2 linked regions of the Astyanax mexicanus genome follow. The protein of the gene in region 1 purifies or fractionates together with the protein of each later gene. This does not show direct contact. Links are inferred from orthologs where the notes say so. Each region holds a gene or a part of one and is shown on either strand. Other genes may lie near its edges.

What was found.
Region 2: the proteins of katnip (region 1) and serine/threonine-protein kinase ICK purify together in Homo sapiens (affinity purification with mass spectrometry; 3 studies listed by BioGRID and IntAct, with this or other methods). This does not show direct contact. The link is inferred for Astyanax mexicanus from reciprocal best matches to the Homo sapiens genes KATNIP and CILK1.

Annotation. Positions count from the first base shown.
Region 1 is NC_064413.1:56,171,306-56,187,414, reverse strand, and holds the start of katnip (katanin-interacting protein), read left to right. Parts: upstream 1-8,590; 5' UTR 8,591-8,669; coding exon 8,670-8,676; intron 8,677-9,352; coding exon 9,353-9,396; intron 9,397-13,289; coding exon 13,290-13,375; intron 13,376-15,417; coding exon 15,418-15,608; intron 15,609-16,109. Other genes in the region: dcun1d3 (DCN1-like protein 3), read left to right, coding at 1,304-1,737, 5,172-5,703. UniProt on the Homo sapiens protein: May influence the stability of microtubules (MT), possibly through interaction with the MT-severing katanin complex.
Region 2 is NC_064432.1:26,208,911-26,224,080, reverse strand, and holds the start of serine/threonine-protein kinase ICK, read left to right. Parts: upstream 1-9,189; 5' UTR 9,190-9,872; intron 9,873-11,006; 5' UTR 11,007-11,123; coding exon 11,124-11,224; intron 11,225-12,934; coding exon 12,935-12,989; intron 12,990-13,489; coding exon 13,490-13,611; intron 13,612-14,015; coding exon 14,016-14,095; intron 14,096-14,249; coding exon 14,250-14,382; intron 14,383-15,170. Other genes in the region: interferon-induced protein with tetratricopeptide repeats 5, read left to right, coding at 1-26, 902-1,461, 2,269-2,333, 2,448-2,662, 4,088-4,329, 5,153-5,278, 5,368-5,512, 5,618-5,650 and 2 more.

The sequences.
Region 1 (16,109 bases):
GAAGGGTTTCCCAATTCCTAGGGGGATGATTTCAGGGGTTGCACAAAAAACAAGTGTTAGGGGTAAGTGGTAGGACCAATAGGTAAAATGGGATTGGACTCAAATGTAATGTACTCATTGGGTTGTGAATCACCGAGCATCATCATGACATCATGATACTGTGATTCTGCAATACTCAATATATCACAAGTCAATTCTCTACGATACTTCCCGCCCTCCGCCATAGGTCTGTAACTCTGACTAAGCATTGCGTAACAGGGTACGGGAGTTTTGCGAATCTGACTCATAGACTCAAAGAGAAATGTAACAAATCACTGCTGTAGGTGTTTTAATGTGATGTCTGGTCTGATGTCACATTCCTGTAATACTGATTCACAGATACTCTATAGAAGAGTCACTAATACAAACGAACAAACAGATCCCATCAAAAGAAGAGTCACATTGATGATTCTGATTCTCTCTCTTTCTCTGTTTCTTTGATTCTGACTATGATTCTCTGTCAGATTCTGATTCTATCTTTATAATTCTTTACTGTATGATTCTGATTCTGAATTTTTTATTCTCTTTGATTCTAAATTTCTGATTTTGACTCTGATTCTGACTCTCTGATCTCTGATTAAAATTCTGATCATCTCTTTTTCTTTCATTGTGAATTTCTGATTTTTGACTCTCTGTTTCTCTCTCTTTCTCTCTGATTATTGAGTCATTGATTCTGATTCGTTCTCTCTGATTCTGTGATTGATACACTTTCTCTCTGTGATTCTCTCATTCTTACTCTGAGAGTCTGATTTCTCTCTCTGATTCTGATTTTTTGATTATTGACTCTTTGATTCTTATTTCTCTCTTTCTCTGATTCTGAATTTCTGATTTTTGATTCTCTCCCTGATTTTTAATTTTTGATTCTTGACTTTGATTCTAATTCTCTTTCTTTGATTCTGTGATTCTGACTCTCTCTCTCTCTGAATTTGTGATTTTTGACTCTTTTATTCTGATTCTTTCTGATTCTTTGATTTGATTTGATTTCTCTCTCTGAATCTGAATTTTTGTTTCTTGAGTCTTTGATTCTGATTCTGTCTGTCTCTCTCTCTCTCTCTCTCTCTCTCTCTCTCTCTCTCTCTCTCTCTCTGTGATTCTTCACTCTCTGATTTTGAATTTCTGACTCTCTGATTCTGTCTCTGATTGGTCAGGGCATGGTGACTGCTGTCCAGTGGCTGGAGGAGCAGCGGCGTCTAGCCTGAGGAGGAGAGTCGGGAGGAAGCGCGAGAGCAGGAGAGGAAAAGAGAGAGAGGGGCACGAGTGCACCATGGGCCAGTGCGTGACTAAATGTAAAAACCCCACATCCTCTCTGGGCAGCAAAAGTGGTGAAAAGGATGCTGGGAAGTCACATGGTAAAAAGGGAGGCGGAGGAGGAGGCGGGACCGGCAGCCATAAAGACGAGTCCAAATTCCCCGCTGATGTCAACGGCACAAAGTCACCGGAGGTTACTGTGGAAACCTCTGTAGCTCCGCCCCAATCACCAGGGAGCGTGCGCAGGGCGGAGCCTGAGCAGGAAGGGGAGGGGCTGTCTCTGGCTCGGATAGAGGAGATGTTCATGAGGTATAAAGACGAGCACGAGGACGCTATTCTGGAAGAGGGAATGGAGCGGTTCTGTAATGATCTGCACGTCGACCCGGCGGAGTTTAAAGTCCTGGTTCTGGCGTGGAAGTTTCAGGCTGCTACCATGTGCAAGTTTACAAGGTAAAAAATAAATATATAAGAAATGTAATTATTTCACTTCAACATAACACAAAATATATGTTGTACTGATAATAATAATACACTACAGGAAGTGTAGGGGGCGCTTTATAATGCACTATAATGTTCATATGATCCACACACGCTCATTCTGACAGACTATAATACACTACAGGAAGCGTAGGGGGCGCTCTATAATGCTCTATAATGTTCATATGATCCACAACACTCATTCTGACAGACTATAATACACTACAGGAAGCATAGGGGGTGCTCTATAATGCTCTATAACAGTGTTTCTCAACCAGGGTGCCGCGGCACCCTGGGGTGCCGTCTGGCTTCATCGGGGGTGCCGTCAAAATATTGCGCATCACGTGCATATTTCCTTTCCAGAGTCAGCTCGTGTCGGGGTGTGTCCCAATTCACAGGCAGCATACTCTGGAGGATGCGACCCACAGAGATAGGCGGTGTATTACTGCGCAGCTGTGACGCAATGTCTTCGAATACAGCCTCCGAAGGATGCGGCCCCTAAATTGGGACACACTGTAAAGTTTGTCCCCCACGCGATGCACTGCGAGAGTAGTGTAAAGCGCTCAAGCTCGCATGGAACGTTTTTTTTAAAAGAAGATTGCAGATTCAGATAACTCTGAATCAGAGCCATTAACTTCTTCATCCAGTGGTAGTTCAGCAGTGAGTGTAGCAGAGTATTTCACTCGTTTGAAAAGTCTGAAGGTTTCGCGCTAATTGTAAATAACCCCCCACCCCCCCTTCTCACCTGAAATAAAATATTCCGCCAGCAACTCTCCTCGTTCTCACCTGAAGTATTGCGCCAGCAACCCCCCCCCAACCCCCCCCCCCGCCCCCATTTGTAAACTGGGGGCGGGGGGATTTTGCATAATTTTAAATGGAGTCGTGATAGAAAAAAGGTTGAGAAACGCTGCTCTATAATGTTCATATGGTCCACAACACGCTCATTCTTACAGACTGTAATACACTACAGGAAGTGTAGGGGGAGCTCTATAATGCTCTATAATGTTCATATGATCCACACGCTCATTCTGACAGACTGTAATACACTACAGGAAGTGTAGGGGGCGCTCTATAATGCTCTATAATGTTCATATGATCCACAACACGCTCATTCTGACAGACTGTAATACACTACAGGAAGTGTAGGGGGCGCTCTATAATGCTCAATAATGTTCATATGATCCACACGCTCATTCTGACAGACTGTAATACACTACAGGAAGCATAGGGGGCGCTCTATAATGTTCATATGATCCACACGCTCATTCTGACAGACTGTAATACACTACAGGAAGTGTAGGGGGCGCTCTATAATGTTCATATGATCCACACGTTCATTCTGACAGACTGTAATACACTACAGGAAGCATAGGGGGCGCTCTATAATGCTCATATGATCCACACGTTCATTCTGACAGACTGTAATACACTACAGGAAGTGTACGGGGCGCTCTGTAATGCTCTATAATGTTCATATGATCCACACGCTCATTCTGACAGACTGTAATACACTACAGGAAGTGTAGGGGGCGCTCTATAATGCTCTATAATGTTCATATGATCCACACGCTCATTCTGACAGACTGTAATACACTACAGGAAGTGTAGGGGGCGCTCTATAATGCTCAATAATGTTCATATGATCCACAACACGCTCATTCTGACAGACTGTAATACACTACAGGAAGTGTAGGGGGAGCTCTATAATGCTCAATAATGTTCATATGATCCACACGCTCATTCTGACAGACTGTAATACACTACAGGAAGCATAGGGGGCGCTCTATAATGTTCATATGATCCACACGCTCATTCTGACAGACTGTAATACACTACAGGAAGTGTAGGGGGCGCTCTATAATGTTCATATGATCCACACGTTCATTCTGACAGACTGTAATACACTACAGGAAGCATAGGGGGCGCCCTATAATGCTCATATGATCCACACGTTCATTCTGACAGACTGTAATACACTACAGGAAGTGTAGGGGGCGCTCTGTAATGCTCTATAATGTTCATATGATCCACACGCTCATTCTGACAGACTGTAATACACTACAGGAAGTGTAGGGGGCGCTCTGTAATGCTCTATAATGTTCATATGATCCACACGCTCATTCTGACAGACTGTAATACACTACAGGAAGTGTAGGGGGCGCTCTGTAATGCTCTATAATGTTCATATGATCCACACGCTCATTCTGACAGACTGTAATACACTACAGGAAGTGTAGGGGGCGCTCTATAATGCTCTATAATGTTCATATGATCCACACGCTCATTCTGACAGACTGTAATACACTACAGGAAGTGTAGGGGGCGCTCTATCATGATCATGTTACTTTAAGTTGCACTAATTACTGACACAGATGTGCAAATGCACATGTAGACAGTAGGACTCCAGTATGTTGGTAAACAGTGAGTGTCAGTGTGAACTCTCTCTTTCTCTCTGTTATCTGAGATAAAGTTCTTCTGTTCAGAGATCAGTGATCTAACTGAAATCTCAGGAAGTGGTCACAACTTCTGCTCTGCAGCCAAAATGTGTGTTTGTGTGTTTGTGTGTTTGTGTGTGTGCGTTTGTGTGTGCGTTTGTTGCTGAGGTGTTAAGACCATCTCTCTGTCTGTATCTCTTTCTCTCTCTCTCTCTCACTCTCTCTCTCTGTCTGTATCTCTCTCTGACTGGTTTCTCTCTTTCTCTCTCTCTGTCTGTATCTCTTTCTCTCTCTCTCTCTCACTCTCTCTCTCTGTCTGTATCTCTCTCTGACTGGTTTCTCTCTTTCTCTCTCTCTGTCTGTATCTCTTTCTCTCTCTCTCTCTCACTCTCTCTCTCTGTCTGTATCTCTCTCTGACTGGTTTCTCTCTTTCTCTCTGTCTCTCTATCTCTCTCTCTCTCTCACTCTCTCTCTGTATTGGTCTCTCTCTCTCTCTCTCTCTCTCTCTCTCTCTCTCGCTCTGTATATCTCTGCCTCTCTCTCGCTCTGTATATCTCTATCTCTCTCTCTTTATTTGTATCTCTCTCTATCTGTATCTCTCTCTATCTCTCTTTGTATCTCTCTGTGTCTTTTACATTAATTGTAATTATCAACTTTTCAAAAGCAATTATAGAATAAATAATAAACACAGACACAATAAACACAAGTTTAACACCATTTTACATACAAAAGTAATTTGTATATGTCTTTATTTATCTATACATGGACACACAGAAAATACACATAATTAATTTCCACTGATGTGTTTAAATGATGCTTTTAAATAAATAAATCAGAAAATGATATGTTAGTACTGTATTTTAGAAGATAAGCAGTAATAATAGTATGATAGGTGTGTTATCAGTTATTTATTATTGATAGAGAGTAGTAATGAGCTGATGTCTCTCTGTGTGTGTGTGTGTTTGTGTGTAGGAGGGAGTTTGTGGAGGGCTGCCGGGCGATCCAGGCCGACAGTCTGCAGGGGATCTGTCTGCGGTTCCCGGTGCTGCTGGAGGAGTCCCGCGGCGAGGAGAGCTTTAAGGACCTGTACCGCTTCACCTTCCAGTTCGGGCTGGACGCGGACGAGGGCCAGCGCTCGCTGCAGCACTCCATCGCCATTGCGCTGTGGAGGCTGGTCTTCACGCTGGACACGCCCCCCGTCCTGGAGCGCTGGCTCCACTTCCTGTCGGATAACCCGTACGGCGTGCGCGGGATCTCACGCGACACCTGGAACATGTTTCTGAACTTCACGCAGAGCATCGGGCCCGACCTCGGCAACTACAGCGAGGACGAGGCGTGGCCCAGCCTCTTCGACTCCTTCGTGGAGTGGGAGACGGAGAGGAGGCGCCGGGAGAGGGAGGAGCAGGAGGAGAGGAGGAGAAACCAGGAGGAGGAGGAGCTGCATCAGCGGCGGGACACCGAGACAGACGCCATCACAGACTGCAGCCTCGACGGGGCGGCGTGACGGGAGACGGGCGGAGGACGGGGGCGTGACTGATGCTCTGAGGGTGGATGCTAGTATTACCCAAGACCCTTACTTTCCGTTCTGGTCTGGTGGTGATGATGATGATGATGATGATGATGATTTCTATTTTCAGGCTCTTCTTATTGGGATGGGCTTCCCCGTTTCCCCTGAACTGTTTATTTTATTGCTGAAAGGGCTCCAAAAAACTCAAATTGTGTTTTTAAGCACTTCTATTTAAGTTATTGTTTTATTTTGTAATTTTCATTTTGGTATTTTTAAGAGGTCTGCCCCTCTATCACACCCCCACAGTGGGTTTCCTCCTGGATCAGACACCAATCGCACCTCCTTACCCCCTCTAAACAGCGACGATGCAACTCCTTCACCTCCACCCTCGTTATATAACCCCACCCCCCCACCCGCCGCAGCAGCAGAGCGCTGTAGCCGACCTGCGTCAGGCTGACGGAGGGAGCGAGAGAACGAGAGATCAGGGCTTTCTGCTTTTAAACGGTTAACTGTAGCAGCTGGTTTTAGAGTCGCTGGTTATTACTGGTTATTATGACATAAAACACACACACACACACACACCCCTCAGCTCCCGGTGATGCCGGTTATTCTGCGGTCAGGTTTGTCTGCTGTGATTTATTTTTGCGGTTTACAGTTTTTCATTCTCCGTGGTTTCATTTCAGATTCCTTTTGTCTGGTTTTATATAAAATGCTACAATTTATAACGAATAAAATGTGTGAGATTGGGCAGTGACCACGCAAACCAGCTCTGTTCATTTATTTGTGTTTTATAGTGTGAAGTATCAGAGACCTCCAGTGAAAAAATGCAGCACTTTTTTTACATTGTCTTTAACTTTTATATAATTGCATATTGACACACATACCCAACATATACTGTGTTTTATCTGCTCAACTTTTCAACATTTCTAAGCTAAAGCTAAGCTAAACAAACAAAACTGTAATTCCTAAAAAAAATGTCAAACGAGCGCTGGATGATAATCTACACAGGTTTCTCTCCTGAAAACTGATTATTGAGGTGAGTAAAGCACTTCTGTTTATTTACAATAAGCTGAGATTTACAGATTTCCACTAAGGCTGGGTGCAGCAGCATTAGCAACTACAGGACAGAGAATCAGACAAAAGACTTAACATACAACACAGAACCTCCAGTGATGAACAGAGTAAAAAACTCCCTCAGAGCTGGAGGTGCAGAAAACACTGGGTGATTCACATGTATTAACAAGGCTAATACAGGTGCAATTAGAATATTATTGAAAAGCTACTTTATTTCACTAATTCAGCTGAAAATGTGAAACTCATATATTATTTCTTTATTGTGGATAATGATGGCAATTAAAACCCAAAAATCAGAGTCTCAGAAAATTAGAAAATTATATAAGACCAATTGGTACTTTCTGCAGTGTGAGCAGTGTGCCAAGTCCTGCTGGAAAATGAAATCTGCATCTCCATAAAAGTTGTTTTCAGCAGAGGGAAGCTGTAAGATATGAAGTGCTGTAAGATTTTGTGGGAAAACAAAACTGCACTGACTTTAGACTTGATAATAAAACACAGTGGATCAACACCAGCAGATGACAGACATGACTCTCCAAACCATCACTGATCATCAGTACATTTTACATTTCATTTAAAGAAACTCAAGGGAGCAGAGTCTGGAGGAAGAGTGGAGAGACACACAGTCCAAACTGCTCGAGGTCTAGTGTGAAGTTTCCACCAATCAGTGATCAGCCTTAATGAGTGGTTTAATGGGACGAAATGTATGTAAAACTTTAGTTTGAGAAGATTTTGAGAAGAACTGAAACTTAATCCTAAAATCAAACATCAATAAAAAAAATTGACAAATACATGCAGGACTATGTAGAAGTAATAGTCCCCAAAGACAAGGTTTTAAATTGTTCAGGTTTGTTTATACCAGATATGTTTGAAAACAGTAAAGTCTACAAGGCTTTTAGCACAAGATTCATTGAATACACCAGCTTACCTTTTTCGTTCTTCATCTGAAATGGAAAAGAAGTCTGAGAAGGTGTAAACATTTGTGCTAAAAATAAAATAATATCTGTAACACCCAGGTTATTTTTCAAGCTGAATGCAGCTGAGATAGCATTTCAGCATCTTAGAATCAGGTCATATTTATTTAGCATTGTTTTTTTAACAGATTAGAATGAGTTAATCAAAGAGTCTTTAGTATCTGCTTGTCTAGAGGAGCCATTTCCTCACACTCTGTCTATTTTTCCAGGTTTATTGCATACACAAAACACAAGATCCAAATCATACTACCTCATCTGTTAAACATGGTGGTGGAAGTATTGGAACTCATGCAACTGCATTGGAACTCATGAACTCACGTTCATTCTTAAACATCTGACTTCTATGAAAACATTTAATGAGGCTAAGGTCTGAACTCTAGGGTGAGGAGGGTTTGGTTTTTCCAGTTTTACTGCTTTAAATTTTCCAAAAATGATAAAAGTAAGTTAGTTTTTACTGCACAGCCAATAATAACTATCCCTTCTTGAGGGTGTGTTCTTTTCCTCCTCACTCCCTACATAGTGCACTACATAATCAACAAAATAGCAACTGACTGACTCATTGTACTACATGCATGCTAATACATGCTGCACAATTATATCTTCTATTGCAGTGCTAGTAATGTTTTAACACTATTTAGTGCACTATTCAGTCTGCAGAAGCATTTACAATACGCCCTACGCTTGTGCACTATGTAGTGCACTTGGAAAGGTTTGAGATGTACCCAAACAGTAAGTGGTCTCCGCCTGGATACACAGGTTACGCCTTTTCCGATTGGTCGGTGTCCATGCATGTTTATGAGAGTGGGCGTGCCCACGGTGTATGCTGCTTTCTGATTGGACCGTGGTCCTCCTAGTTACCGTCTCCATCTGTCCACAACAGAAGTCGCGTGCGGAGCGCCGTTTGGAGGATAAGATGTGATGGACTGTGAGTGAACGGTTTTCAATAACGAGTAGATTTAATCTAAAATCGATTATAACGTATGATAATTGATTATTGATTGATATAGATAGGTATAGGCGGTTGTTTGGAGTCGGTGTGCTGCGTTGTAAAGCTGTTGAAGTAGGCCAACAGCTGCAATTGGGCTATGTTTTTGCAATTGTCCGTTCCACCTTAAATGGGGCAGCAGTTGCATTCTGGTGCTTCAGAATGCCTGAGACGCCAGAATGCAGCAACTACTGCCCATTTAAGGTGGAACGGACAATTCCAAAAACATATTTTTCAACAAGGCTATATTTTTTATGATAAAAAGCAACTTTTTACTAGAATTTAGTAAAAGAATGTAATAATCCACTTCTTTTGCATTAAAAAGTGTTAAAAAATATATATTTTAGCTTAGCCGGGCCCAGCCTCCAGCCGCGGTGTGTCCTGCCGCTGTAAGCCGGCGTAGGGAGCGCTCTCCGCGGGGAACCTCCCTAGCATCTTCCGCTAACAGCTGGATCGCGGCCGCTGCACTTTTCCTATTTTTTTTTAAAGAAATACTGTAGTAAACTAGAGCTGTTTTACTATAGATTGTATTATTTTTAAGCAGTTTTAAACATTTCAGGCTGCTAACATTTTATTATCACTGCGTTTTCACCCCTTTTCGACCCCCGGGATACAGGGGCAGCTGAACGCCGCTCTCAGAGACTCTCGGCGGGGAGTGAGGTAAGGGAAGCCCCGCGGTAAGCTCCGGAGCTCCGGAGCTTTTGAGATATCTGCTTAGTTTTGTGTGTCAGCTTTAAAATCCAATAAATTTGCCTCAGTAACATTGTTGTGAGCATGTGTATATGTTTTTTTTTTTTGCTGTTAAGAGTTTATGCAACAGTTTTATTCACATAGTCTCTATATGCACACAGAGGGCACTTTATTTTTCTTAAATTTTTTTTAAAACAAAAAAAAAATCCTTATTTCAAGATATGTTTCTGATATTAAATCAAACAAAAGACTGGCACATTAAAGGAAAAAGCCAATAGGACTTTACAAAACAGAGAAACCCCTGACAACCCCCTGCAAGACCTGGCAGACCATCCAACACCAAGTTTAACTCTTCTGTTTTAACAAGACAACACAATGCAAAACAATGTGTTTATTAAAGTAGGCAAAGACAACAACAATGAACAATAAACAATGTGGAGACAATACATCCACAACAATGGACTCCCCACACTAGAGTTCAGACCTCTGCGTCATTAAATGTTCGTATAGAGGTCAAGAATGAACTTGAGTTCATGAGTTATGGAAGAATTTCTCTGCAGATTTCAGAATACTTCCACCACCACGTTTAACAGATGAGGTGGTATTTTATTTGAAACGCCTTAAATGGTGCAGCTTGGAGACATCCTCTGTGATAAACTGAGGAATACTTCCACCACCATGTTTAACAGAAGTGTTGGTATGATTTGGATCCCTGTATAAGAAGAACACGTCCAACACCATGGTTTACAGATGAGGTGGTGTGCTTTGGAACTTGGGCAGAATGTGAGGTTAACTCTCTCTCTCTGCATATTTCTTTAAAAACACTGACAATTAGTCTTCTAAAAATAATGGAAACTCTAATAAAGTTTATAATAGTTGGATTCATTAAACACTCAAATATCGTATGTTAAAGTTAGCTGTTAAGGCTTCTTAGTCATTTGTTTAATAAGGGTTTCTGCTTTTTCTACCTGACATTGCAGAACTTGTACTAATTGACTGGAAATGAAACAAATAATTGTTTTATATTGGAAATTTTGATTACGTTTTACACGAGATTAAAAAAACAAGTAGGCCACAAACAATTACAATTATTTACAATGTAAATAAATGCATGCATTCATGATCTGTGTATGTAATGCTGCAATAACAATTGTTTTTATTATAAAATTAACTATACAGTGTATGGTTGATGTGACGGTGTGTTATATCTTTGGACTGTCACTGAAGGAAGTACGGAGGACAGCTGAGGAGCAGAACCCATGCTCGTGTTAAAAATTTCATATGTTAGTGAAGTAATGACTCTGGAGGTTCTGTACTGAGCAGCTGCAGTGGAGCTTCTGAATCCATCCTGTATCTTTCAGTACAGGAGCTTTAGTGTGTTACAGTCTGATTATGGTGTAAAATAAAACCCTGCAGCTCCACAATAGCTGGGATTCCTCTCAAATATTATATTTAGTTAAGAAATTAGAGAGAAAATGAGAAATAAGCCGTGTTTCCATCCAATACTGTTACATAGATAAACTATAGACAACACTGGTGACCGTAATTAGTAGAGTCATTGAAAAGAGCAGATAGATGAGATTCAATCTGACCTGATTTTAGCAGAATCATTTTCAGAAACAGTTACAACAGTTATATTTTATTGGGTGAGTCATCCACCGCACATCAGAATGTATATAGCAGAATGTATATAGCATCCTTTAAAAATTGGTTTTATATTGTAGTTTAGGGCAATATAAATTGAGTATAGGGGATGAAAAGGAAGTATAGGCTAGTATAGAGTAGTTTAAGGACCATATGTAAGTATAGGACAGTTTAGAGTAGTGTAGGGAGTATTAGATAGTGTAGGGCAGTGTAAAGAAGTGAACGATAGAATTACAGAGTAGCGTGTGGCATAAGAGAGTATAGTAAGTATAGGGGATGAAAAGGAAGTATAAGCTAGTATAGAGTAGTTTAAGTAGCATATGGTAGTATAGGGTAATATTAGAGTATAGTGAGTATAAGACAGTATAGAGTAGTATAGGGAGTACCAGATAGTGTAGGGCAGTGTAGAGAATATAGGATAGAATTATAGACTATTGTGTAGTAAAGGGAATGAATAGGAAATATTGGCTAGTATAGTGTAGTTTAAGGAGCATATGGTAGTGTAGGGTAATATATGAGTATAGTTAGTATAGAGTATAGTGAGTATAGGGAACGAATAGGAAGTATAGGGTACTGTATAGTAGTATTAGGGAGCACAGGGCAGTATAGTGAGTATAGGGAACGAATAGGAAGTATAGGGTGCTGTATAGTAGTATTAGGGAGCACAGGGCATTATAGTGAGTATAGGGAACGAATAGGAAGTATAGGGAGCTGTATAGTAGTATTAGGGAGCACAGGGCAGTATAGTGAGTATAGGGAACGAATAGGAAGTATAGGGTGCTGTATAGTAGTATTAGGGAGCACAGGGCAGTATAGGGTAATATAGAAGAGTATAGTGAGTATAGAGTAGTATACAGAGCATAGGGTAGTATAAAATATTGTGAGTTAGTAGTATAGGTATAGAGAATGTATAGAGAGTATATTGTACTATGAGAGGAATATAGATTGTGTAGGGTAGTGTACAGGGGTATAATATAGTATTGGATAGAATAGAGGAGCATAGGGTAGTATAGGGAGTATAGTTTTTATAGGGTAGTGTTAAGGATTATAGGGTAGTATTAGGGAGTTAAGGGTATTACAAGTTTGTAAGAGGTAAATATAGATTTTGTAGAGTAGAATACAGAGGTATAATGTAGTTTTGGGTAGTATAGGGAGTATAGTTTTTTTATAGGGTATGGTAGAGGATTATGTAGTATATAGTACTATGAGGGAATATAGATTTTGTAGGGTTATATGTAGGTGTATAAGGGAGTATTGGGGTAGTTTAGAGGAGTATAGGGTAGTATTGGGGAGTTTATTGTATTTTAAGTTTGTAAGAGGGGAATATAGATTGTTTAGGGTACTATACAGGGTTATAACATAGTATTGGTAGTATAGCGGAGTATAGGGTAGTAATAGTAAGTAGTGTAGGGTAGTATAGGGAGTATAGTTTTTTATAGGGTAGTATAGAGGAGTATAGGGTAGTATTAGGGAGTTTAGGGTGCTATTAGTTTGTAAGGGGTAATGTGAACGTATAGGGAGTATGTAGTAGTATTATGAGGGAATATAAATTGTGTAAGGTTGTATACAGCGCTATAAGGGAGTATTGGTGTAGTATAGAGGAGTATAGGGTAGTATTGGGGAGTTTAGATTACTGAAAGTTTGTAAGGGGCAGTTTTACTAGACGTTGTTCTAAAGGATTCCATATCCAGTAGAGTAAATACAGAGAATTTCAGTGTTTTTTCTCTTTCTCTCTTTCCTCCTTGCTCAGACTCTTCTTTCCTTCTCTTTTTCTTTTTCCAGAACTCCTGTTCTTCCTCTCTTTTTTTATTTCTGGAGACTTTGGATAACTGATCACCAGCTCTGTAAGCTTCAGAACTTCTGTTTCTCTTTTCTTCCTTTGTTTTATAGCAACATCAGTAATCATTATAAAAAAGGTCTATTTAAAGTCAAAGGAAATGAAAGATACATTATGTTATTTAATTAGCATGTTTCATACTGTCCAAATATCTTATTTTGACTAAACTTCTTATTTTTGGGGGTAAGGAGAAGCTTTGATTGGCTCATGTATCGCTTTAAGAAGATCCTCTGCTTCAATCAAAAGTGTCCATTTTCACTTTATTTAATAGCCCATCCTGTGTGTGTTTACTACAGCTAGTAGTTAATACCTTTTACACCAGGATAAATATAATGTAATACTGAAATGGAACGTGTGTGTGTGTGTGTGTGTGTGTGTTTAGGAGGTGAGGAAAATCGAGGCAGGAAAACAACACTCTGCTGAAGATCACCTGGATGAATATTTAATCAGCCTACAGCACAAAAACAGGTGAAAACACACACACACAGATACACACACACACACACACACAGGTTAGATGACCCAAGAGCTGGTTCAGTGTGACCCCATTTTTAACACTGGTGTGAAGTAGATGGATACTGTTACAGTGGAACACACACACACATCCCTGTGATTGGATAACACTGATAGATCTCAGTGTTACACTGCTTTCACACTAGCAAGCGACAAACTGTCAGACATACCTGTCAAGTCTCCCGTTTTGGCCGGGAAACTACCGTATTTTACTCCTCTTTCCCGCCGTCCTCCCGTATTGGTATTTTCCCGTAAATTTCCCGTATTATACTAAATAAAAAAATATATAGGCCACAGGCGACAATGCACTGACCGCTGTGTGTCTCTTAACCAATCGTGGTGCCGGTTCAAGGAGAAAGTCCCGCCTTTCAGGAGAAACAGCCAATCAGCTAGCTGGTTTTGCGGAGCGCAGTTTAGTGTGCGGGAAGCCCCGCCCCTCCCCTCGCTGTGAGTTCAGGCAGCTAGTCGGAGCAGCTGTCGTTAAAATTAATCTGGATATACGGAGATTTTTCTAAAAGAAAGGTAATTAACCATGTAAACTGTGATGAGATTGTTTCTGATAGCTGGTTAAAAAGACTCTTCTCTGAATCAAAACATAAATTAAACCCACTGTGTGTTTAATAAAATACAGCTTGTGACTCAGTTAGCTTAACTTTAGAATTAGCTAGATAGATATTCAGGGTTTGAGAAAAATCTACATATATATATAATGCCCTGCCCTGATGTGCCTGATCAGCCAATAACTATCATTTCCAAACTCTATTAGTTCAGGGCTAGTTTTAGGGTTTGTTAGAATTTGTTTAAATCTCAAGTATTGTGGTAATGTATTATAATGTAATGTAATGTATTATTTAGAAGGGGTAGAAGAGATGGTTGAGCTGGAGAGAGAGAAAATGTGGAGAGGGCTGAAATTAACTGAACTGATCAGGAGTGGACTGAACGATAGAAAGAAGTATTAATGAAAGATTATTAATTGTGTAGGCCCCTTAGGACTATTATTTACTTATGGAATATATCTGATCCATGTCCTTTTTGTAAATTTGTGCACCCTTCAATTTCAATTTTAAATCTATTAAATAAATAAAAAAATATATATATATATATATATTAAAAAATATATATATATATATATATATATATATATATATATATATATATATATATATATATTTTTTTTTTTTTTTTTCCTCGTTTGGGCTGTTGGGGCGGCGGAAAAAATCCCTTATTTTTAAGTCCAAAACTTGACAGGTATGCTGTCAGATGACCAGTCATTTCCTATGGAGATATGACAATTTAGATTTTCTCTATTTTGTGCAAATTACTTATGATACAGCTATTAAGAGAGTGTATGAAAATATCGATATAGTTTTAGAATATTTAGTTTTACAATACTCTATCCCTTTTCAACGATAGTACAGTACAGTAAATGAGAAATGGCTGAAATAACAAAAAAGATGCAGAGCTTTCAGACCTCAAAGTTCATACTGATAAGGTTTTAAGAGTTCAGAAATCAATATTTGGTGGAATAACCCTGGTTTTTAATCACAATTTTTTCATGCATCATGTTCTCTTCCACCAGTCTTACACTCTGCTCCTCCGACACATGAAGTCAGACTCTTTTTTAACTGCTGCTGATGCGGCAGCATTGCCGAGTAGCATCACAGCGCTAACGCTCGGAGGAAAGCACAGCGACTCGGTTCTGATACATCAGCTCACAGACGCAGCCTTGTGCTGATCCACATCACCCTAGGAGTGATGAGGGGAAGAGAGTGCGCCATCTACTGTACTGTACCCTCTGGCTCCGGCAGCTGATGGCAAGCTGCTTGACTGGGATTCGAATCAGCGAGCTCCCGATCATAGTGGCAGCACTTAAGACCACTGGATCAATTGGCGCCCCATTAGTTTACCATCTTCTAACATATCTCTCTCTTTCTTTCCCTCTCTCTCTCTCTTTCTCTCTCTCTCTGTATCACTCTCTCTCTTTCTCTCTCTCTCAGAGCGTTGAAGAAGCTGCAGGTTAAGGACCCAAAGCAGTCTGAGTTGGAGCAGTTGGAGCAGGGCTTCACCCTCTACCTCAACGGCGCTAATGCTAATGCTAATGTGGCTAAGATCAGTCGCCCCAGCAGGAGACCTGCCCAGAGATACCTTATCAACCCCTCACCAGCACACAGAAACACACACACCGCAGGTACCAACACATTCCAATATCACACACAACTATTATACAAATATATTTTTCTATATATACACAGTAGTTCGGGGTGGTATCATCGAGTGTACCCGAGGGAAATTAAAACTGGCATGCATTTTTCAAATAATGCCACCATGTTATGTTGACATAACAAGCTAACACACTGGTTGCTCAGCTCTGTGAAGTCAAACACTCATGTTGCTCCATCCTACCTGGAGAAAAATGAAAACAGCACTTTATCTGAGGAGCTCCTGCTGCTGTTCCTCATCGTACCTCAGTGTTTTTATCGGAATAAAATAGAAAAACAATAGCAAACAGCAATTATTCACTCAGAAAATAGACAAATGGAATTGCGCAATCAATCCAAAGCTCTGAGAAAAGTTCCTCTCGTCCCCCAGATGAGCCCAGAATCTGTCCTGAATACAGAATCATTTATTCAGCATTTTCTAAAGTGATAAAACTTCCTAAAACACTGCATGCGAAGTGAAAATAAAGTTT
Region 2 (15,170 bases), on another chromosome or scaffold:
AGCCTTGACCACGGGTGTTGCAATTGGTAAGTAAGCCTGTTAAAGCCCTTCTAATGAATGCATGCACTTTAATGCACCCATTGCTGACAAGCATGAACCTGTTACTCCCTTAGCATTGACTAGAAGTACTTCTAGGATAAGTTGTGGACGAGGTTGTCTGGATTATTGATCTACAATCTACAAAATAAATTAAGGGCCATTCCACCGAATGGGAGCCATTTGCTTGTTGTAACTCCTCCAAATTAAACTTATATTTTTAATCTTTTTTTAAACTCTGAATCTAATAACACCTATATTTATCAAAACATGTACTGATCAAACTCAGGCAGCTTTATTTAATTATTTACAAGTTTTCTAATTTCAAGGTGTTTACAAAACTCATGTGACATTTTAAAAATCGTTTAAAAGCAAGTCCACTAATTCCTTTGATTTTCTCTTAAGAAAGTCTCTATTTTAAAGAGAAATTATTTGACTGCATGTTCAAATAATTGATATTTATGACAAACCAATTAAATCACTCTTGTTATTGGCACTCACTCCTGTTACTTTTTTTGTTTTGAGTAACAGGACTGAAAGCAACAGGAATTAGCTTTAAGCATAGAACATTCTAGTGGTTTTCCCACAATTTGTATTTTAAAAATAAACCAATAAGATGTAAGAATTCATTTAGGTAACATTTCATATCTTACTTTTGCAATTAGGTCAATGTACAAGACACTATGCTTAATAATAAAATGTATCTGGGGACAGAAATGGCACCCAATCTTTGGAAGAAGCCTTAAAAAAAAAGAAGAATAACATTGAAATACTTTGAAAGGGAAGGTGTATCCAAACGTTTGCTTACATTTAGTGCTGTACCTCATTATTCTATTGATGCATTTGCTTTTTTTTTATTTCACAGGAGAAAGTCCTCTGCTTACAGAGCTAAGAGTTTGGCTTTTAGCATTCAAGGGAGCAGAGGAACGTGCTAGAAACGTGATCCTAGACAGTCGTTCCCGTGCTGAGGAGGTGCTGGGTTTTGGAAGACCAGTGCTTCAAAAAGGAACGATGGCTAAGAAAACTGTGTGCCTGGTTGAGACTGATCTTTGCAATGCCAAGAAAATTCTCCCAAGAGAACGGTCCCTTCTTGCCCCTGGACCCCACGCCATCGTTCTTGCCTTTCTTCACGAGGGACAACTCAAGAAGACCAGATCAGTCCTACAGGATCTGGAGATCTTTGGTCGGAGCTTCTGGAAGCATGTGATCGTGTTGTTTACTAATAAAACCACTTCCTTAAAGGGAAGTGTAGCGCAGTGGCTCCTGCAGAAATGTGGAGGCAGGTTCTACATTGCTGGGGTTGGGACTCGGACAGCTCAGGCCATGGAGTTCTCCGAGAGGATTATGACCATGATTTCAAGGAACAAGACCATGCACCTGATAGTCCCAGCACTTGTGAACCGGTCCTTCTTAAAGATGGTTACGGTATGTTTTTTTTATTTTTTATAGAGAATAGCCAGATTAAATATATCTTATTGTATTTTTTCCCACTATATAAGGAACTTCTTATTTAGCAGGTCTTAACCAGGTTAAGTAAAGCTAAGCTAGGTAAACAAAACTGTCAAACGAGCGCAGGATGTTAATCTACACAGATTTCTCTCCTGAAAACTGTTTATTTGGGTGAGTAAAGCGCTTCGGTTTATTTACAGTAAGCTTACATTCCCAAATTTCTCCATCACTAAGACTGAAGCATTAGCATTAGCAGTTAAATATAGTTGCCTCTGAACGATGAAAGAGCTAACTAACACTTAGCATGGTTAGCAGCCAATGCTGATGATAATGCTGCTCCAGCAGTGCTAGCCAGGGTTAGGAGCAGGTTACAGTCTGATAATACTCACCTCTGATGATGAAAGAGATAACCAACACAGCGTGGCTAGCGTCTAATGCTAATGTTGCTTCAGCAGTGCTAGCTGGGGATAGGAGCAGGCTACAGTCTGATAATCCTCCCCACTGAACGGAGAAATAGCGGTCAACGGCTAATGCTAATGCTAATGCTACTCCAGCCCCGGTTCTGGAGAATTGATCTGAAACTCCTGTATAACTCTGTACTTCAGCAGAGTGGCTTTACTGCTCCTTAATACCTGACTGATAGAATTCATACATAAGGAGCACCGGATTATAAGAAGCTCTGATGATTTTTGGGAAAATTAAAAGAGTTTAAGTGCATCTTATATTGAGAAAATACTGTACTGTATATCTGTATAGAGCTTAATCATGTTTTAATGTTCACAGGAGACAGAAAGTGAAAATAAATTTACACCAGAAGTGATAACTGAGGAGGGCCAATTGAAGTACAGGTAATGTGCAATATGATCATCATAAATATCATAAAATTGAGTAAAAATTAACAGTGGAGTGATTTTGCTTGAGATCACAGAAAAAAGACTCACTTTGAGATTTTCGCTCTGCAGGTTTCTGTGCAAACATGCCGGATGGTTCCATTGTTCTTTCACCAGGCTGGGATTCAGAATGAATGGAGAAGGAGAGGTGGTGTACAGAACTGTGGACGAGGACAGCAGCTGCTCAGCTTCACCCAATCAGTATTCAGCAGGTCCTCTGTACGATATCACATGTGTCGGGGGTCAGCTCTCTCATCTTCAGCTCCCCCACTGCGAGATCTCCCCAGGTAAATTATTAATCCAGATTAGTGCTGGTCGATATGACCAAAATTTATATTGCGATATATTCCTTAATTTCGGTCGATGCGATATAATTTCGATATCAATATTACTTTGGCCTCAGAAAAACTGCTAAGAATGAATCAGATTAGATGTATTCATAGTAGTCATAATATAAATAATATATTATACAGCAAAATCCACAGTTAATCCTGCAAAAACACACACACTACTGTTGGCTACTATCTTTCATCAGCTTTCTCACCATTAAATTTTAATTCGTATTTTTCAGGATCTCTCCCACAGGAATCATTTGTTATTTAAGTCTAAATAAATAGAAAATAACAATGTAAGTGAAAATCCCTGTAGATAAATAAGGCTTTTGTCCCTCAACTCATCCACATATTTTGACTTTGTGACTACAATATTAAATGTTAAGGCTAATGTCTTTTAAAAAGCTTGGATGTTGTTCATTTTCAAAGTAGCCTAATAAAAAGATACTAAAAGCCTAATAACTAATTCCTGACCAGGTCTACTGAAGCTTATGAAGCATGTTTTGCAGCTACTCAAAAAAGGCAGTATACGTCTTGAAGGAGCTTTCGACACCAACCTTAAACACGGACAGCGGTATAACAGCATTTAAGGCGGAATCGTAAATTAGCCGAATTTAAGGTGGGATAGCAAATTCATGTGAGTTATTTATGTAGGGAACAGTGTGTTTTAAGTGCATATTTAAGAAAGCTAAGTAGATATAAAGCTAATCACACGTAATGCTGTAGCGTGAGCAGCTCACGCACCTTAACTTAGACACACCTGATCTATAATGATCCAGCAGCAGCAGGTAAACGAGAGGAATATAATATTATTAATATGAAATGGTATGATCCACTTTAGGGGGGGTTTGAAATCGTATCACAGTATTCTTCCAGACATTAATACTGCCTGTAATTAGTAAAGGATATTTAAATGTTTTGACCCCCCCAAACTATTGTTTTTACCCCTTTAGAGTGGCTTGAAGTCTTAATCGGGGGGTCTGATCCCCCCCAATACCCCCCGTAATTTGCACCCTGCTTGTGTATTGCCATCAGAGGCACTAATTTGGCATCTAAAATGTCCTGTGCTAGAGCCTAGCATAGCTTAGCTTAGCTTATCCTAGCCTGTGTGATTACGTCATCACGCACTGACGTAGCCCCGCTACGGAGGCTGATTGTGTTCAGCTCTGCTTGAATGCAGCGAACTGACAAGTAAAAAACGCCTGTCCATGACAGATTCTCTAAATAATACATATTAAAATACTGAAAAAATGATATAATCGTTATTGAAACATTTCTTATCGTAATAAACACCATTATCAAATTATTGTCCTAATCCAGATCAATGTAATTGGATTGGAGGACTGTGCTTGATTTTATTTTGTTTTAATTTCCCTGCAGATGACTGTCGCTTCATGACTGTGGAGCATTACACTGAAGGGAAGGTGGAGGTCCTGAAAGCTGATTATATCACACACACTCATGTGAGCGTGAGGGTTCCAGGACTGTCACTGTTTCAGCTGAAATACATGCTGAACTGGTTTAAAGGTAAAATCAGGGGACAGCTGATACTGACATATTACCCTCTACCCAAACACCGGCTGCACGTGTTCCTACGGCCTCATAACACAGACCTGCACAAGGTAAGGTCCTTAAAGATCATTCATTCCATTAAAAAAAATACTGTTTCATTAAACAAGAAATTACATGTATAAATGTGCACACAAAATACATTTTATTGTTAAGCATAGTGTATTGTACATTGGCCTAATTGTAAAAGTAAGATATGTAATTAAAATATTAATAAAAAATAATTATAACACTGAAAAATAGCATTTGTTACCCATTCTCCCCACTCTTTAACTATAAACTTTACCATGAAATATAATTATAATTTTTGTAATTATTTTTTTAATTGTTCTGTGACTCCAAAACAGGAAGTGACATCATCAGCTGGTTCTTCTGAAGATCATGGGAAGACCAGAATTAAATTCCCTCATTAGTTTTTCTGCATATTTGATCTTATTGTAACAGAAAATCTCTAGAATGTGCTCAGTGTCCTCATGCTATTAGCATAGCCGCCATTTAGCTATTTTTCATGTTTTTGATAATTCTACGCTAAAAACTCATTCCTGTTACTTTCAGTCCTGCTACTTATAACATCAAAAGTAACAGGAGTGAGTTCTAGTAACAGGAGTGTTTTTTTTTGTCTTAAATATCAATTATTTGAACATGCAGTCGACCATTTATTTAAAATAAAGACTTTATTAAGAGAAAATGAGGAATTAGTGAACTTGCTTTTACACATGCTTTTTAAATGTTTTAATTTTTTATCAACATTAGGTTAATTCCATTTCTAGCCCATGCTAAGACATTTATACATTTGTATTCTACCTGAAAGAGCTAGTTATAACTGTACACAACTCTTGGTTTTGAGCTGAAATAATGCAAATAAATGTTTTGCAGCTACTCAAAAAAGGCAGTATACGTCTTGAAGGAGCTTTCGACACCAACCTTAAACACGGACACCGGTACAACCTGACCTGTGAAGATGTAGAACAACAGGAAAGGCAGCAGAAAATACAAGACAGTGTGAGTAGGGAGACTATGAACTCCCAAAACCAGATTAACATCTGTATAACGTGCTGAATGTGTACCTTTTCCTATATCGCTGCATAAAGGACGGTCTTTTCCTGAGACACATCTTCACCGACAACCCAACGTTTGTGATCCACCTGGAAAGAAACACAATGAACATAAAGTTACATCTAAAGGAGAAAGGCACCGATAAAATGGTCTGGGGATATGATTTACCAGACCTTAGAGGTGAGACCATCCATAAATCAGATATATTTTACAGGTGTATATATGTATTTAAATACTAGCTGTATGTAAATTAATGAATTTCTCATTGTTTTTGTTTCTCTCCAGAATATCAGGACAGAAGCACTTCATCCGATGAAAGTAAGGAACGTTTTTAAAAAATTAACTGTAATAGTACCATATTATTCGCACTATAAGGCGCACTATCAGTGAATGTCTATTTTGTGGTCTATTTGCACATGTAATATACATCGGATTATAAGAGACAACTAAGTTAAGTAAAGTTAAGCTAAGTAAACAAAACTGTAAACGAGTGCTGGATGTTAATCTACACAGATTTCTCTCCTGAAAACTGTTTATTTGGGTAATTAAAGCATTTGGGTTTATTTACAGTAGGCTTAGGTTATCGAATTTCTCCAGCACTAAGGCTGGAGCATTAGCATTAGCGGCTAACTGCTAGCCACCCGACAGCGCTACACTAAAGAACCCTGATCTTAGACCACCTGAAACCAGCAAACTATGGTCTTTACATTACTGAAAACATAATCTGAGAGTAAATGCTAATCTTTTACCTGTTTTCCTTTCTCACCTCTCTCAGGTTATCAGAGAAAGATCACTACACCGGATAAAAAGAAATGTATGTATCCTTTTTTTATTTGGATCTCCATTTATTTTGTTGTTTCCAATCAGAATATCTACAGATGCAGAAATCTGATGCTGATATCTGCTGAAAGACAGTTAATTGTGCAATATGAAGATGTTTGTTGAGCCTTTATTTGGGAATTATGATGCTAAGAAGAATTTTCCTTGGAACTTCCAAAGGAAGTCTTTTAAATTTTTGGACAAAACATTAAATATTTTGGGTTCACACTGACTGCAGTCAATTAAAATTCTATATACTGTTTTTTTCGCACTATAAGATGCACTTAAAATCCTTAAATTGTCCCACAAATCATCAGTGCGGTGTTATAGTTTAGTTCTATAGTTTAGCTCTCCCGCACCAAGACTGGAGGCTGGAGCAGTATTAGCATTATCTGCTTACTGTGCTGGTATTAGGGGCCTGTAGCCTGCTCCTAACCCCGACTAGCACTGCTGGAGCAGCATTAGCATTACCCGCTAACCACAGTGCTAGTGCTAGTTAGCTCTTTTGCCATTCAAAGGTGAGTATTATGTAGCCTGCTCCTAACTCCGACTAGCACTGGTGGAGAAGCATTAGCATTACCTGCTAACCGCGCTAACAACTAGTTAGCTCTTTCTCCATTCAGACGTGAGTATAACGGACTGTGGTTTGCGCTTTTGCCATGTTGAAACAAGCTATTTAGTATGAACCCCTAGCTAATATCACCCTAGCTTACCGGAACACATTTAGAGTTTCTTAGTGTAGGGCAGTTGGGTGACATTTACTAGCACTAACAGTTAGCCGCTAATGCTAATGCTAATGCTGCTGCACCCAGCCGTAGTGTAAATCTGGAAATCTAAGCTTACTGTAAATAAAGAGAAGCGCTTTACTCACCCAAATAAACAGTTTTCAGGAAAGAAATCTTTGTAGATAAATTTATAATCTGTTGCGCCTTGTGTATAAAAACTGATCAGATAATAGACGTTTATTGATGGTGCTCCTTATAGTACGAAAAATACGGTAATGTTGGGTGATGTTGGGTTGTAGGGAAACTAAGGAGCGTTTCTGAAATGCGGTTTTAGTGCTTCTTTCTTGTCTGAATAAATATTTACTAACTCTGATTTTGTGTTTCCTTGCAGGCATGGACTTCTTTCTCGGGAATTGGGATGAACTGGTCCAAAAGGTCACCAATGTGGACGCCATTCTGGATCGCCTGGTTCGATTCATTTGTTCAGAAAACATAAATGAGATCAGAAACCAGAGCACTCCACAGGCCAAAACCAGGGCTCTACTTAATTTAGTGGGGAAAACTCTGTCACCACAGGAACTCTATCGAAGTCTAGCAGATGTTCATCCAGACCTGGTGAAGGACATGCTGTGAAATAAACAGAGACTGACCAGGACCATGTGATTAGTCGTGAACATAGACTTTCTACGAGCCTTAACCCTGGAATTCCACCTACGGTTCAGAGAAAGCCTCTCTGATGTTGAGGCTTAAAGGAGAACTCCGGTGTAAAATTGACTTTGGGTGTAGTAAAACATGATGAAGAGTACTAACCCGTCTCCTATTTCCGGCAGCTTTCCGAGATCCAGCAATTTTATTCTGTTTGTCCAAATACCCTTTAGAATGGGTCTTAATGGGGCATATTTTGCCCCTGCAGAAAAATGTCACTTTTAACACCGTTATCCAGCTCAAAGTAGCTCCACACCTCATTGATAGAATCCAGAGAGCCCTGACACTTAAAACGAGGCATTAAAATAGGAATCTGCCAAAGTCAGAGCTCACCTGACTACCTGACTAAAGGGAATGATGAGCAAGTTGTATAAAACATTGAGAAACGTTCTTATAACATTCAGTTAACTAAAAAAACTAAAACAGTGTAGAAATTACATTTGTTCGCACTTTACCGAGGAATTGTTTAAATTTAACACCAGCTTTTTCATTATTTCTTCTGAAATCAAGAGAATTCAAGAGTTTATGATGCTTTTGTTGGAATAACTGTCTCTACTGTAACAATGCAATGTTAAACTGTTTTTGTACTAATTGTTGTATATCTTGTAAATTGTAAAGAATGTGAATGAAAACATATAGAGTGATTAAATCACTATTTATTTTATTTACTGTAATACTGTAATGTTATTTATTATTTAATCGGAGATGTTGTAATACCGAGTTTGTCCACAGGAGGGCAGAAATTTAAATATTATTTATATTTAAGGAGAGATGCTGTAATACTGAGTTTGTCCACAGGAGGGCAGAATAATTATTTAATTTATTTAATTAAAAATTGCTGCAATACTGAGTTTGTCCAGAGGAGATATGAAATGAAAATATTATTTACTATTTAATCAGAGATGCTGTAATACTGAGTTTGTCCACAGGAGGGCAGAAATTTTAATATTATTTATTATTTAATCAGAGATGCTTTAATACTGAGTTTGTCCACAGGAGGGCAGAAATCTAAATATTATTTATTATTTAATCAGAGATGCTGTAATACTGAGTTTGTCCACAGGAGGGCAGAAATATTAAGTCTAAGTGAGGATAGGACCATCTAATAAATAAATGAAGGAATGTGGAAATAAATAAATAAATGTAAAAATATAAAGGTAGAAATACATTAATCAACAAACAAATAAATAAAAATGTATTTATTAATTAATTTATTATCGGTTCTATGTAGGGAGCATGTGTGCGGATTGGAGCGCGCCCAGGGTTGTTAGCGCCTGCAGGGAGCATGTGAGCGGATTGGAGCGCGCCCGCAGTGTTGTTAGCGGCTATAGAGAGCAAGTGTGTGGACTGGAGCACGCATGCAGTGTTCTTAGAAGCTGTAGGTAGCGTGTGTGTGGATTGGAACGCGCCCGCTGTGTTGTTAGCGACTTTAGGGAGCGTGCGTGCAGATTTGAACGCGCCCGCAGTGTTGTTAGGGGCTATAGAGAGCGTGTGTGCGGATTGGAGCACGCCCGCAGAATTGTTACCGGCTGCAGGGAGCGTATGTGCGGATTGGAGCGCCCGCAGTGTTTTTAACGGCTGTAAGGAGTGTGTGAGCGGATTGGAGCGCGCCTGCAGTGTTTTTAACGGCTGTAGGGAGCATGTGCGCGGATTGGAGCGCGCCCCAGTTTTGTTACCGGCTGCAGGGAGCGTATGTGTGGATTGGAGCGCGTCCGCAGTGTTTTTAACGGCTGTAGGGAGTGTGTGAGCGGATTGGAGCGCGTCCGCAGTGTTTTTAACGGCTGTAGGGAGTGTGTGAGCGGATTGGAGCGCGCCCGCAGTGTTTTTAACGGCTGTAGGCAGTGTGTGAGCGGATTGGAGCGCGCCCGCAGTGTTTTTAACGGCTGTAGGGAGTGTGTGAGCGAATTGGAGCGCGCCCGCAGTGTTATTGCAGGCTGTAGGGAGCGTATGTGCGGATTGGAGCGCGCCCACAGTGTTATTGGAGGCTGTAGGGAGCGTATGTGCGGATTGGGGCGCGCCCGCAGTGTTTTAACGGCTGTAGGGAGTGTGTGAGAGGATTGGAGCGCGTCCTCAGTGTTTTTAACGGCTGTAGGGAGTGTGTGAGAGGATTGGAGCGCGCCCGCAGTGTTTTTAACGGCTGTAGGGAGTGTGTGAGAGGATTGGAGCGCGTCCGCAGTGTTGTTAGCTACTGTATGGAGAGTGTGCTGTTGTTAGCCTGAGCTTTAAACCGGGTTTATTAGATTTACACAGAGATCGGACTGTCTGGAATGCGCACTCCTCAGAAAACACAGGTAAACCGGATTAAATAATGCGGATTTAACGGTGATGGTGCAGCTGGTGAGCTGAATTTGATATAAATCGGTGTTTTAAGGAGCTAGGTTAGCTAATTTGCTAGCCTGGTTAATGTTAAATCACTGTAACTGACTCACACTGCGGGTTAACACTAATTAAAACCATTATTGATGAATAATTCGGGCATTTAAAGGGTTTTAAAAGCCGCTGTTTTTCTGTAGACCCTTTTCCTGTTATATATATATATATAACTGTTATATATATATATAATGTTTAGCGTTGGGTGGTGTTTTTGTACTGTTCTCTGTATAAATATAGTAGTTGTAACGTTAGCTGTTATTTGAGTTTATGTGTACAATGTGTACAATCAGTGTAATCGACTTATTTCAGTTGTTTTTATACGTTTTACACTTAAAAGATCTACTTAGCCAGTGCACGTCTTTTAAGCTGGTATTTTACTCTATAACATCTATTAACTACAGGGTAACTAAACCCCTGATTTTAGCTGACTCCACCCTCAGCTCAAAAAAAAAAAATGCCAAAAAAAACACAATACAGGGAACAGTAGTTTGAGAGGGGCACTGGGTGATGTATGGGTTTAGGGGCGTGTCAGAAGACTGATTTGGCTAATGCTGTCCATACACTTCACATAGCACTGGGCGATTTTCACGATTAATTTGGTTAATTTGAATTACAGTTTTAATGTGATTTTCAAAATAGAGTTATAACAAACGTTTTAATCTAAAATATCTGAAAACACGATTCATCCGCGTTTATCCGTCTTGGTTACTGGCGTCTCTCGCATACCAAAACTGTGTGCAAAACTGATTGACATACCGCAAGGGACTTGCAGCTGCAATCGCAGCAAAAGGTGGCGCTACGAAGTATTAACGCAAAGGGGCCGAATAATATTGCACATCCCACTTTTCAGTTTTTTTTTCTTTTCTAAAAAAAGTTTTAAATTTTGTTCCACTTCACGGTTGTGTCCCACTTGTTGATTCTTCACAGAAAATTACATTTTTATATCTTTATGTTTGAAGCCTGAAATGTGGCAAAAGGTTGAAAAGTATTGAATACTTTTGCAAGGCACTGTGTTTTATTTAATAACTTGTTATTAATGTGCTGTGCTGCAGGTGGAGGTAAGCCCGTAGCACCATGAGGCCGGCGCCTCCGCTTCACTGCTGCCGTCACAGGAAAACGTGGCTGCGCTCGGCCGGCTCCTCAGCGGCCGCGTCCGGCCTGGATAAACCATGAACCGCTACTCCGCCCTCCGGCAGCTCGGCGACGGCACCTACGGCTCCGTCATCCTCAGCCGCTGCCTGGAGTCCGGCGAACTCGTCGCCATCAAGAAGTGAGTAAAGCATCCGTCATCTTCCTCTGACTGCGGTTCTCCTGGAGGGAAAGATTTGGTGTATTTATTTCAACACAGATACAGTATAGCAACACCAGAGCAACCACTTAGCACCACCATAGCAACTGCCTGGGATGTGATTAGGGCTATGTCGAGTTTAGTATCGTCGAGTACTTGGCATTACTATTACGTATCACAATACAGGCATTACAATTCAATGCAGTATATTGTGATACTATGAGCAAGTCAATGTATTTTAATTGTTTCACCCCCACCCACTCAAAACCGAGGAAAACAGTTAAACCCTTTAATCAGGCATTTACGTGGCTTTTTAATTGGTAAATAGGAGCGTTTTTCTGGGATTAAAAGCGAAAATGTAGCTGCAACTAGTGCTTCTCAGGCAGCAGCAGCCTGTCACTCATACAGACACAGAGACAGCGCTGTGTATCTACTTCTTGTGTCAAGAATTAATAGATTGCAACATGACGTGTTTGATTTAATTGCCTTATGTGACATTGTACATCCTGCAATCATGCAGCCCACGAATATAATATTATTGCAAAAATACCCTGAAATATCGTAATACTATTTTAGGGCGGTATCGGCCACCCCTATTGAGCAAGTTTCCCAGTGCTTTTGTGCATCATTCTAGGATCCACATAAGATCATAAATGGTAACACAGACACTGGGACAACACACATAACAACCAACCATTCACCGCTTCTCCCCCAATCCCATAAACTCATCAGGAAATGAAACGGCGTAGCCCCTCCCCCTCAGCCCCCGCCTCACTATAGATGATCCCTCTTCATAAATCAATAGATCAGCTGATAACAGACTCATCCTCTCCGATCCTCCACCCACGCTTCCTCCTTCAGCTAAAAATACCCAGCACTATTCCAGCTCTCAGCCGCCTGACAGATGCCTCAGTAATCGGCTGAGTGGGCGGGGTCAGCACCACTTGGCTCTGATTGGTCCACAGCTGTAAAGCCAGCTGTCAGATCACAGCCTGTTCGCTGTTCCACCGCCTGATCCGGACACTTCTGAAGAGCACACGTGCAAATCAGTGATTATACATACACACGGGCTTACTGCAGAGGATCTGGCAACCTTTTTGTTGGCCCAGATTCAACCATCCTATAATTATCACCCAACACAGCATAGAAGCCACCCATTCTATGACCTCTTACACTATCGATTATGTGTTTTTGGGAGTTGATACACTTATTGTGATACTTATTGATTTATCGATATTTTCTTACCCCCCTACGGCTCTTATTCACAGCGGGTATATCAAACTATGTGGGCTGAAACACGGCTGATTCAGAAATGTAGGGTGAGGTAGAGTGAGGCAGAGGGGGCAGGGTGAGGTTGATAGAAGTAAAGCGAGGCAGGGTAAGGTAGTGTGTTAGGTAGAGTGAGGTAGAGGTCCACAGTAAACACACACCAACTAATTTTTTATGCTGGGAAATATAAGCAAGTCAAACCAAGAGCTGAAAATCCTTAAATTCATTTCATTTAAATGAATTTAGCGTATTTTACATCATTTTTTTTTAAATCCTGCAGCATTATCACTCATCACACTGAATTACAGAATACAGAAACACTGTTATTATTCTCTGCTTTTACTGTATAGTGCTGTAGCCTCTTATGGCTTATTATTCTTATTAAAGTTTGTGTGATTTAAGTCCTGTTTTCTCTGTTTTCAGAATGAAGAGGAAGTTTTATTCGTGGGAGGAGTGCATGAATCTGCGAGAGGTGAAGGTAAATAATCAAAATTAGAATATTTTATTCCAGCATATTGTAAATTGGAATTACTATCATATCCCATGATTTTTGCCACGTCACGTGGAGGTTAAGGGACGCTGCACTGACCTGTGGGATGTGTGAACGTGGTCTAATGATTTATTTGTTTCTGCAGCAGCGCAGTGGGAGGAGCAGGTGATTCTTGTGTGTTTTCAGACTGCAGTGCTTCTAGTTCTAAAGTTCCTGCTCTAAATCCTGTCCTGCTATTTTAATCCACCGTACAGAAGCTCAGGATAGCGCAGTCCTGTTACTCTGCACTACAGACTCATGGCCAAACACCAGCCTGAGATCTGAACCTTTGAATCCTGTATTCCTTCTGATGCATGACCTCTACTGAACTCTGGATCTTCTCCTTCGCTTGTCTCGTATCTGTTCTGATATAAATGCGTGGGTTTGGTGAATCTGCAGATGTGTTATAATGATATTAATGATAATAATAATATTTATTTTGGCTCCAGTCCCTGAAGAAACTCAACCATGCCAACGTGATCAAGCTGAAGGAGGTGATCCGAGAACACGACCATCTGTACTTCGTCTTCGAGTACATGAAGGAGAACCTCTACCAGCTGATGAAGGACAGGTAAATATAGGAAAAAGAGGAAATTGTATTGTACACGATATTATGTTGGCGACATTATTGCGTACGATATGATATAGCACACATATAAAGGATAAAGGAAGTTAAAGGAAATATATATATAATATGGTCCTAAAAACGATATCAATATTTTAGAGATTTTTTTTTTTATTATTGTTGGCATATTTAAAAAAAAATGTAAAAAACAAATATGTATTATTATAAATTATATATATATATATATATATATATTTTTTTTTTTTAGAATATGCCAACAATATTAAAAAAAAAATCTCTAAAGTATTGATATCGTTTTTAGGACCATATTACCCACCTCTACCAGAAACTCATATTTGGTGTTTTTTTTTTTATTTTCAGTTTCTAACTTTGTTTTGCTAATATTCCAGGACTCGGCTGTTTCCTGAGTCTGCGGTGAGGAACATCATGTTTCAGATTCTGCAGGGACTCGCCTTCATTCACAAACACGGTAAAATCTGGAGGCTTAACAGAACCGGCAAAACTGTATTGCCAAAATAATTTGCTCTGTTCGAATCCAAATCATTGAACTCTCATGTTCCAGTTTGCCACGTGTGGACAAATTCTCTGATTTCTCGGATTAATTTTTGACACTTTTTCTTCAGGTTTTTTCCACAGAGATCTGAAGCCGGAGAATCTTCTGTGTATGGGTCCAGAGCTGGTGAAGATCGCTGATTTTGGATTGGCTCGAGAGATCCGGTCCCGCCCTCCTTACACCGACTACGTATCCACCAGATGGTGAGCTTAACTTTATATATAATATCACAGCTTTTTAACGGTGTTCTTCTGCTAAAATGCTCTTGTTCTTGTTGTGTGTGAAATACAGTATGTATCTCTGAGTTGTTTATGATGCTGCACAGCCTCTTCCTCGTTGTCTGCAGCAGCTAGTAAAAGAAAATATTCAGAAAAAAAACGAGTCGATCAGGAAAAGCACCGTGTCTACATCAACCCGTGAATTAGTATTCATGGCCCCGCCCACAGCCAGAGCTGAAGCTCTGAAGCTGGGCGGCGACGCCGTCTCGTCAGATAGGAGGAGCTAACAGCGCTAGGAACAGCATGTAGTTCCAGTGAGAGTGTGCTACCCAGTGGAGCACGTTTATACATCTGCGTGCGTGTATCAGTGGCTCTGCATTGCTCTGCAGTTTAAAACCAGAAGGCGGGAACGCGAGACCTGGCGGACCAATCATAGCTGCGGTTGTTTGCATTATGCAACGTGTAGTTAAATTTCTAGAGAGGTGCGCGTCGAGCTCTGGCGTATGGTCTGCAGCGAAGTGTAGGCTACGCCATAGGTTCAATGCAAACGTATAAATGGGCCTTAAGAGTCTCTTAAAGGGACAGTGTACACTTTTCCCTCAGGCCATTTAAATGATCATCCCCCCCAATGTGAGCATGTGTGCAATATTAAACACATTTATGCAGTCATGCATTCTTTATTCCAGTGCCCCACGTTGGCTTTATCCCCCCTCAAACATACAAGTAAATACTAGTATTTTAATTTTAAACACCACTAATGTAAATAAACTCCC